3 linked regions of the Bombyx mori genome follow. The protein of the gene in region 3 purifies or fractionates together with the protein of the main gene of each other region. This does not show direct contact. Links are inferred from orthologs where the notes say so. Each region holds a gene or a part of one and is shown on either strand. Other genes may lie near its edges.

Evidence for each region. The genes of interacting proteins can lie anywhere in the genome.
Region 1: the proteins of histone deacetylase 6 (region 3) and phospholipase A-2-activating protein purify together in Homo sapiens (affinity purification with mass spectrometry; 4 studies listed by BioGRID and IntAct, with this or other methods). This does not show direct contact. The link is inferred for Bombyx mori from reciprocal best matches to the Homo sapiens genes HDAC6 and PLAA.
Region 2: the proteins of histone deacetylase 6 (region 3) and lipoamide acyltransferase component of branched-chain alpha-keto acid dehydrogenase complex, mitochondrial purify together in Homo sapiens (affinity purification with mass spectrometry; 3 studies listed by BioGRID and IntAct, with this or other methods). This does not show direct contact. The link is inferred for Bombyx mori from reciprocal best matches to the Homo sapiens genes HDAC6 and DBT.

What each region holds. Positions count from the first base shown.
Region 1 is NC_085128.1:4,435,013-4,437,853, reverse strand, and holds part of phospholipase A-2-activating protein, read right to left. Parts: intron 2,676-2,841; coding exon 2,552-2,675; intron 1,613-2,551; coding exon 1,552-1,612; intron 1,079-1,551; coding exon 953-1,078; intron 540-952; coding exon 394-539; intron 1-393. UniProt on the Homo sapiens protein: Plays a role in protein ubiquitination, sorting and degradation through its association with VCP. Involved in ubiquitin-mediated membrane proteins trafficking to late endosomes in an ESCRT-dependent manner, and hence plays a role in synaptic vesicle recycling.
Region 2 is NC_085128.1:9,592,937-9,596,436, forward strand, and holds part of lipoamide acyltransferase component of branched-chain alpha-keto acid dehydrogenase complex, mitochondrial, read left to right. Parts: intron 1-166; coding exon 167-291; intron 292-1,097; coding exon 1,098-1,337; intron 1,338-2,301; coding exon 2,302-2,568; intron 2,569-2,643; coding exon 2,644-2,772; intron 2,773-3,330; coding exon 3,331-3,402; intron 3,403-3,500. UniProt on the Homo sapiens protein: The branched-chain alpha-keto dehydrogenase complex catalyzes the overall conversion of alpha-keto acids to acyl-CoA and CO(2).
Region 3 is NC_085111.1:17,635,353-17,639,506, reverse strand, and holds the start of histone deacetylase 6, read right to left. Parts: upstream 2,801-4,154; 5' UTR 2,598-2,800; coding exon 2,595-2,597; intron 2,509-2,594; coding exon 2,371-2,508; intron 1-2,370.

The sequences.
Region 1 (2,841 bases), on a different chromosome or scaffold from region 3:
TCAAAGTAGGATACAGTTCATATCCTGTGGTTAATAAATAAAATTTACTAGTGGTAGGACCTCTTGTGAGTCCACGCGGGTAGGTACTACCGCCCTGCCTATTTCTGCCGTGAAGCAGTAATGCGTTTCGGTTTGAAGGGTGGGGCAGCCGTTGTAACTGTACTGAGAACTTAAAACTTATATCTCAAGGTGGGTGGCGCATTTACATTGTAGATGTCTATGGGCTCCAGTGACCACTTAACACCAGGTGAGCTGTGAGCTCGTCCACCCATCTAAGCAATAAAAAATAAAAAAACATGTGTGGCAAAGTACAAAATGGCTTATACAATTGTAAAGTGAATTTCGAAGCGACATCTCAGGGGCACAATCAAACCGTACCGAGTGCATACTGACCTGAGTGTTGTTATTGAGTTGTGTGAGGCATATGAGTGAATGCATAACGGTTTCCCTGGCGGCCAGCACCAGCATCTCTCCGGGGAGGTCGCTGAACGCATTCACCAGCACTCGCATTGTCAACATTATGTTTGCCGGTAGGTTGTCTGTAAAATACATGAAATGTACAATATTAGCAATATAAGCAAGCATTTTGAAACATTTTGAAAGTTATTTAAGCTTATTGAACACTACAGGAATGTCTGAGAGCGTAAAGCATGTGTTATTATGTTAACTGTGAATAGAGATGTGATAAAAAATGAAATTTGTCGAAATCTCACATTCATTTAAAAACAGAACGTTGAAGGTGACAAAAAAAATTTTAAAAAAATTATCATTTTAACTCGTACGATATTATTTCTTATCACACCACAGAAATAGTATAACGTTTGAAATCCCCGCGTTATATAGGGTAATACCCGTGTTATACGAGCAACTAAAATCGCGTTATAAGAGTACCGTGTTATAAGAGGGCTTATTATAATTTTGTGAATACGTATCAGGACGCGACGTTTGTTACCTGGCGCCAACAATGTGAGCAGATACTGGACAAAGTTCGGTCCGTATTTAGTGTCGAACATCTGTGCGTTGATCTGTTTGTTCCGGACAGCCAGCCTTGTTACATCCAGTACCGGGAACAATATCTCTGGAAGCAACAATGTTCCACATCAGATACCAGTTTCGAATTATTATTATTTTTTATTGCTTAGATGGGTGGACGAGCTCACAGCCCAACTGGTGTTAAGTGGTTACTGGATCCCATAGACATCTACAACATAAATGCGCCACCCACCTTGAGATATAAGTTCTAATGTCTCAGTTCTATAGAAGTTCCTACCACTAGTTTCGAATTAACAGCTTTGTACTGGTGGTAGGACGTCTGCTGAGTCCGCACGGGTAGGTACCACCACCCCGCCTATTTCTGCCGTGAAGCAGTAATGCGTTTCGGTTTGTAGGATGGGGCAGCCGTTGTGACTATACTGAGACCTTAGAACTCTTATCTCAAGGTGGGTGGTGGCATTTGCGTTGTAGATGTCTATGGGGCTCCGGTAACCACTTAGCATCAGGTGGGCCGTGAGCTCGTCCACCCATCAATGCAATAGAAAAAAAAGATTTTACCTTTCGGCCATTCCAGCATTTTCTTCAATAACGTTAACGTTTCAGGATCGTGAGTGCTGTTCTGAAATAAGTAATTATAAAAAAAAAGTTCTTTATTAAATTACTAAATGACGTCATACGGAATTTTCTTGTTATTTGCAGAGGAACTCTTCATAGATATCAGAAAGTCTATTTCCTAATTTATTTCGGGGCACAAGACAAAGTCCTCAATTGCTTGCAATTGTAAAAATGCATTATGCAATTGTCTGAGATTTCTATCTAGATTGTTTTTATTGCAGTGAGAACTTCTTTAGCATCGTTGTGATTTGAAAGTCGATGAAACGAAAAAGCGACAGTAAAAAGAGACAGACACATATATTCATAAGATCATTAAAGTGGGACAAAGTGAGATAGAAAGCATTATTGTTTCTTATATTCTTGGTATTCTCTTCTGCTTCGTATCTAATATTCGTACTAAATACATTCTGAATGAATCTATGTAATTAAGATATACGAATAAAATGTAAAATAATTATCAAACTTTGAATCACTAGTGATCATTACTAAAACCTACAATTATCCTCTTCCCGAAATTTTACATTCGTCTCATTATGTTGCAGAAAATTTTTTAAAGGTTTTACTTCTACCACGTGTGAATTGCTCACGAGTTCTTTATTATTATTTGGATCAGCCTTTCCCAAAGTGGGCGATAACGCTGCTTTGTGAGCGCTGCGAGCCAAAAGAAGGGGGGTAAGGGACCTAGACAAATTATGGGGGCGTTGTGTAGAGGTTTGGGAGGCGATTTGTATTTTCATCTAGGGGGACTCTTAGAAACCGCTTAATCTCTCGCTATAGTGGTTTTTAATAAATGGGGGCGCTAAAAATAATTTATTCTCAAAGTGGGCAGTAGACAAAATAAGTTTGGGAACCCGTGACTTAGATGATAGACCCGTCTGCACACAACTCAAGCAGGCCGGTAATACTGTACTCTAGAACTCTGTAGAACAAGCTAGAAACTCACCAGTTCTCCTAATTTAACAACGTTCTGTAGCTGCTCGTCCGATAACGGGTTATGGCCGTCGCCGACTTTACTGTTGAATTCTCTTAGTTTATCGTATATTGCCTTTATATTCGCCTGATCAAATCTGAAATAATAAAAAATCAATTCAAATAAATAAATAAAACAGATTCATAAACTGTCTTCTCTATTGAATAGTTAATAAATTAATTATTAAAATAAATAATAATACTATGAATACGTAATACATCAAGGTTCGTTAATTGAATAATTAATTTAAATCAGGTGCCCAG
Region 2 (3,500 bases), on a different chromosome or scaffold from region 3:
CCAAAACTACTGATGCTACCTCCAAACTAGTTATTTCTTACGCTGCGCGGCAAAGAATTAAAGGTTGCAGTTTTAGTGAGAATTGATTAGGGTAAACGAAGGTGTGATAAATTTTATTCAAATGTAAAGATTTTCAATATGATCTCGAGAACTTTGTTTATTTCAGGGAAACCCACAGACGTTGCGCCTGATAAGCCTGTTGCTGAAATAGACGCTCCGAAAACGGAACAAAACCAAAAAATTAAAGTATTAACTACTCCGGCGGTGAGAAGAATCGCCGCTCAATTTAAAGTATGTAATTAAGTATATTTATTGTATACATAGATAAATGAAAGAGCATAAGAATAAAGAACTTAAATTAGATTCGTCATAAACACAAATAACGGGTATTTTTTTGGAGATCGGTGACCAGGCGACACGTGTTACACGGTCGAGTGTCATACACTGATTCCAGTTTGGGTTTTAACGACAAAGAGATCTTCCAACAAGCGGGCGAAATTGTTCGGTAGACCGACAGTCCGAATGCTATTTTTTGGACTCTCACCCCTTCACACTTATCATGAATATGTCGTTAACGATATTCAGACATCTGTCAGATGTATTGTGTTTTATGATAGCTACCCGCTACATATCGCACATACGATGCGAAAACGTAACTTATGCAAATTATATAATTTTTCAGGAGAAACGTTGGAAAATTCAACATCTTATTATATAATTCTTATAATAGTTCTGCTGCGCTATAGAAATAAAATGATAATATTTAAACTACAAAACTTCAAAAGCAAACATCTCTCTCGTCTCACTAATAACTATTAAAAAATGTATTTTCTTATACTCAGTTCAGTGTTACACAAATTGCTTAAGTGACTTTATAGCACAGTATGTGCGATATGTATAAAATTCAAAGTGGCTTAATGTTAGCGCGTTCAGAATGCATGAAAAAATATTTAAAATATCGGTTTAATGACGTGGGTATCTATACAACAATATCACTTGATTTAGAACATCCGAAAATATTTGTACATTGAAAACAAAAGGTATTTCAATTTCTTGTCTAAGCATTTCATTATTTTTGTTTTCTTTATTGTTTATAGGTAGACTTGAGTGCCGTTAAAGCAACTGGCAGAAACGGAAGAGTTCTCAAGGAAGACATGTTGTCTCATTTAAACATTAACTCGGATGACTCGAACGAAGTCGTATTACCTGGTAGTGTCAGAGCTGTAGAAATACCAGTTACAAAAGCGCAGGCAAGAGTAGAATTAGCTCTCGAGGATAAAGTTGTCCCTGTTACCGGCTTCCAGAGAGCAATGGTTAAATCTATGACGGAGGCCATGGTGAGTCTTAGCTTATAGTAGCGTAGTGTATAGCAGCGCCATTTCATCTCTTTCTCTAAATATAATTAAAAATAAGAAAAGAAATAAGAATTCACTGGGCAGCAGCGCTCTATATGAATAGATGATTAAACCAGAGTACTATGACCGCCAATTAATGGTTACTGGATGGTTACTGGTAGAGCGTATTTGATACCTGCTCGGGTGGTTAGTACCTTCCTACTTGTTTTTATGACATCTGTTTTGTAATACAACTGAGATTTCGATCAAATCTCACCACATTTCGTTTCAAGGCAGGTGGTAGGCTTCACGTTGCTATGTCAACGGGTACCTGAAAACACTTTACACCAGGTGGACGGTAAGCTCGTGTGTTGGACAAACTATAGTGAAGTGTTCCTTCCACCTATAGTGAAGGTCAAAATAATTTGTCACTCAGCTCTTAAGAGCTGCAGAGTAATAAACGCTCAGATCGCAAAAACCACTACCGTCACTAAAATATTAGAATGTTTCTCTTAATATCCATAATCTCATTTATTTTTCACTGTTTCGCTTCGAGTAGTTCCGATTACTGACTGACTGCGTATCATCCCTGCAACGCTTTTATAGTCGATACCACATCCCTAAAGTTATTGAGAATATTCCACACATCTCTAGTATTGTTTCCGCTATCTGACAATAGATGGCGTTGTACTTCTCGAGCGTTCTAGGTGCTACTAGATCCTTCGATATTCGTTCGACTATTCGGCGATAGATGGCGTTACTCTTACCGGCGTAGCAATATAAAAAAGCTAAGGCCTTACGTATAATACGTAGGGTTTTTGTGTCATCTCGCTAGTGCTTAGAGGCCTTTGCGGTATTCAGCGTCTGCATTAACTTGTTATACAGAAAATCTAAATTAGGGGCCGTCGACCATCAGACATTTGAAATTAAGCAATTCCGCCGCATTCTAATTCATCATTTTTTCCAGAAAATTCCGCACTTTGTATTCAGTGACGAGTACAACGTCACAAAACTGGTTGAATCGCGTGCAGCACTCAAAAAGCAAGCGGAAGAACGTGGGGTTAGACTAACTTACATGCCGATCATCATCAAAGCGGCATCTTTAAGTTTGAGCTATCTACCCATTCTCAACAGTAGTCTCGATAGCTCCTGTGAAAATCTCATTTACAAAGCAAGTCATAACATAGGCGTTGCTATGGATACGCCCAACGGATTAGTCGTACCTGTTATCAAGGTATATAAATATCTTAACTCGTCTTATCTTTAATGTTTGATCCGGTCAAATGGTTATACGTTTCGTTATTTTCAGAACATCCAAATTAAATCAATATTAGAAATTGCACAAGAGTTAAATACATTGCAAGAGAAAGGATCGAAGGGGCAACTTGGATTGAATGATCTCACCGGAGGGACATTTACAATATCAAATATCGGAATTGTGAGTATTGTTATTCATCTCAATATCAAAGTAAATCTATGGTTTATGTCCTAAACTCCTTTGATACATTTCCCGACAATAGAAGCATAATCTATAAAGTACGACAGCACAAAGTTCCTTATTCCGATTCGCCAATATTTTTCTTTTCTTCTCGGCTGTAATGCTTAGATCTATTATTGCAGAAAAGAAATTCAAAGCTTGGCCACATAATAAAGAGTTGTTTATGCATGTATGTAATGCATGTATGCATGTATGCAATATATTTTAAATGGAATCGGACTATATATTTATCATTGCCTGGTATTTGTTCTAGAATATTTAAAGTCTGGCATCGATCCTAAGTCTATGTCAGAAGTTCAGCCATTTAATTAGAATCTCTAATTTTGACAAATCAATATTCGTATAAATTTCTCCAAATAAGAACACTACGCAAAATACAACGAACCGGTCGCGATTCATCGGCATTACAATAAATGTACTTTATTGTATTCCATAATAATGTAATAAAACCTAAGCATATGAAGTGTAATTTTTTTAACAAAATATTTTCGTTTTTAGGTTGGAGGTACTTACACGAAACCGGTGATATTCCCACCGCAAGTTGCAATTGGAGCATTAGGAAAAATACAGGTTAGTAGTGCGTAGCTATATTAATATTTAGTACGTTACTGGGATTGCAAAACGATACACCGCAACAACTTCAATATATCGCACCTTTAGAATTGAAG
Region 3 (4,154 bases):
TTTTTAAGTATTTAAGTACAGCCAATTAACATCAAAAAACCTTTTTAGAAGGTAGGTAAGCATTGCTTAGTTTACAGCAATTTTAATGATTGTATACATAGCTCATGTTTTAAATATTTTCATTGTGCAGAAAGAAACTATGAAGTATTTTATTAGTTATAAAATATAGTAGAAAAAATATGATCATGAATATTTCGATTAATTTTTTTAACATTATTGATATCATTAACATCAGCCCACAGACATCCATTGCTGTAGATGGGCCTTCCCCAACATTTTATTAATAGTCCTGTTCATCCTGCATCCAGAGAAATCCCATAACCTTTAGCAGGTCGTCGGCCCATCTTGTGGCAGGCCTACCTATGCTGCACTTTTCAATTAAATTTCAGTAAAATTTCCAGGGGCTGTCAAAGATCTCATCCCAAAAGTGCAGTGTTTCAAGGCAAAATACTATGACCAGTGTGTGTTGCTAATGACGACATAATAATATGGCAGTAACAGACGTATTGATGACATTTAAAATACTTTACTATTTGTAGTCACCAATACTGTCCATTAATTTTCCTTATCACATCTTTCAACTGTCTTTCATTTTAACCAAGTGCTATGCCATAGACTGTTCAGGCCATCATTATGTAGATGATCTTTTACAAGTTCAATTATAACTAGTCAGGTCATAAGTATTGTCACACAGTAAAAACTTTTCTTTTAGAATGCTGGCCACAAAAAAGTTTATTGAATTCGAATTTCGAATTGTTCATGAAAATAAAAATGTACACTTTTAGAATTTTACTCATTTTTAAATATGGAGTGGATGCTTAAAGAAGACCGTGTTGCAGTTATTGCGTTGCATCGTTGCGGTTACGCGCCAATTCAAATTTTTAACAACTGAAAATTTTGAATATAACCAAAAGATTCGTTTATCGTACCATCAAACGATACAATGAAGACTCTAGTGTAGATGACAGGTCAAGAAGTGGTCGCCCTCGGTCTGTTAGGACTCCAACAGTGATAAAAGCTGTGAAGGCGCGAATTCAAAGAAATCCCAAACGTAAGCAGAAACTGTTGGCCCTTCAGATGGGGTTAAGCAGAACCACGGTGAAAAGGGTGTTAAATGAAGACTTAGGGCTTCGGGCATATCGAAGAAAAACAGGACATCGTTTGAATGCTCGTCTAATGGACCTGAGACTGAAGATATTCCGCGCTTTGTTGAAGCGGTACGCGGGAAAAAAATATCGGGAAATTCTTTTTTCGGATGAAAAAATTTTTACCGTAGAAGAGAGCTACAACAAACAAAATGATAAGGTGTACGCACACAGTAGTGAAGAAGCGAGCAACCGTATTCCGCGTGTCCAACGAGGTCATTTTCCATCCTCGCTCATGGAATGGTTGGGAGTTTGTTAATGGGGCTTAACAGAGGTACATTTTTGTGAGAAAGGTTTAAAAACGAATGCAGTTGTGTATCAAAATACAGTCCTGACGAACCTTGTGGAACCTGTTTCTCATACCATGTTCAATAACAGGCACTGGGTATTCCAACAAGATTCGGCGCCAACTCATAGAGCGAAGAGCACACAAGACTGGCTGGCGGCGCGTAAAACGACTTCATCTGGCACGAAGACTGGCCCTCCTCCAGTCCAGATTTGAATCCGTTAGATTACAAGATATGGCAACACTTGGAGGAAAAGGCGTGCTCAAAGCCTCATCCCAATTTGGAGTCACTCAATACATCCTTGATTAAGGCAGCCGCCGATATTGACATGGACCTCGTTCGTGCTGCGATAGACGACTGGCCGTGCAGATTGAAGGCCTGTATTCAAAATCACGGAGGTCATTTTGAATAAACTTTAGTGTCATAAGAATCTATGTTTTGTTAAGTTCATTTTGGTATATGAATGGTTACATAATGAATAAACTTGTTTTAATTATTTTACATTAAACATGTGACAGAATTTATGCTGACTAGGTACATAGCACTAACATAATTGTGGCAGCTAGCTATCATAGAACGCAAGGTAACTGACAGATGCCTGAATCTCGCTTACAACATTTTCAAGACAAGCTTGCATATATAACAACATTCGGACCGTCGGTCTACCGAGCAAACTCACCCGCTCGGTGGAAGATCTTCCCTTCCGTCATTTAATACTTAAGTATTAAGAAGTGCTTATAATGTGAAAACAATTCATGTTAAATATAACGTGGCCTTTCTTGAATTGCCTTCCATTTATTCTCAAGCGCTTAGGAATATTTTGTCTCAGTGTAGGGGGTACTGAGCAAAGTTCTAGTCTCGTAATTGAGCTCTTGAATTGTGGTTTGAAGAGTGGGCATGATACCGGTTGATATGAAGTCGTAAAATGATAAAAATACCTTAGCTGCGGCGGACATTGCTCGAGTTTGAATCTTGGCCTTGCGAGCTCCATTCCTGGTCACTATATTGGACGTTGGCGGCGTTACTTTCTTACTGTCACCGCCCGATCTACGAGACTGCGTCGGCGGAGGTGTAGCCTATTCAATACATAAATTACATAAATCACACTAAAACTACAACTACTGATAAGTACTATTCGAATTTTGAATTAATAATGACTCACCATTATGTTAACGTTTTTGTTTTGCTAAAACCATTTATTTTATTTACTGAAGATACATTGTTATCAACTGAATTTTTTAGCCAAAATATTTTATTGAACTTTAGTGATTTGTTTGTTTTTGTGGAATATATGTCAAGTGCGGTTGGAGGTTGGATTCGGCGACCGATATTTGCAGGGGGGTGCAACTCCCATACAAAGGAAAAGAACATTCAACTAGCGTCATCTTTAGGAACCGGCGAGGTCATTTTTGAAACGTTTTGGCCTTAATGAACTAATAAACCCACTAGATGGCAGATACGAGTTCTGACTCAAAAAAAATATTAGCGTACTTTAAAGCAGTGCTTCCACTTTTAAGGAATTCTCCCTTTTTTAGGGAAAAATAGCTGATATTTTGGATGATAAAGACAATTTAAAAAATACCAGGATTTAGGATATTTCGGGGTAAAAAGCAAAGCCTATACTAGTAACTCTTGTGAATTTTAAAATAAACGATAATTAAAGTAAAACAATGAACATTTTATTTTATGGAGAGAATGACATTAAGTCGAGTTGACAAGTAAAAGAATAAAACAGAGTTGTGTATAAAAACTATAAAGAAGGTTTGATTCAACAGTAACCCTCTAGTAAAGTAAATCATAGATTAAGCCACTGCTTTTTTCTTAGGGATTCCCCAGAATCCCAATAAGTATAATCCGCCAAATTTTTATTTACCTATTTTCGTTGATGTCACCAGAACTTACCTGTATTGTAATATACAGGTACTTCATGTACCATGAAAGATTATCATGGTAATTTCATTTACGAAAACCTTGTAATTGTCATTTCACTTTTGCTAGCAGTTCCTTCTTCAAAGACTGAGGTGGAAAGATTATTCAGTGTTCTCAAATGTAAAAACTGACAAAAGAAATAGGCTTTCTAATGAAACCCTGAACGGCTTGCTTCATAGAAAGTTCCCAACTTTGCCAGCAAACAATTGCTCAATTTTAGAACCGAACAGTGTTAGGTTGCGTGCAGCAAAAGAATATAAAAGCAATGCGTCGACTTCCTTGAAAATTCTAATCCTATAGATCTATGATCTTCTGGGGGCGTTTATATTATATATACCTACATTAAATAATATGCTGTGGTTTATTTTCTGTATTTTATTTATGCTTTCTATATCAAGGATTTATGAAAGTTGTTTAAGAAATTTTAGGGATAAATTCAAAAGAAACTAGGGTAAAATGTGGTAAAAAAAACGTAAGTGGAAACACTGCTTTGAAGTTTTCAAAATTCCAGGGCCGTAAAACAATCTCAAAAAAAAAATAAGTTTTCAAAATGTCGTAACGCTTTAATTTTTTAAATCGTTTTTTTTTTATCTTGGTGTGAGTTATTTTACGTTGTAGTATTAATTTAGAGCAACTTTTAGCTTTATGAGAATATTAGACGATTAGACATTGAGAAACTCTGTTTTGAATTCTCTTTAGACATAACTTGGCTCCAATACTTTTTTCTTCGTTAGCGTTTCGTAAGCCTGTGTAACTATTTTCATTTCTTACAGAAAGTTTATTATTAAAAATC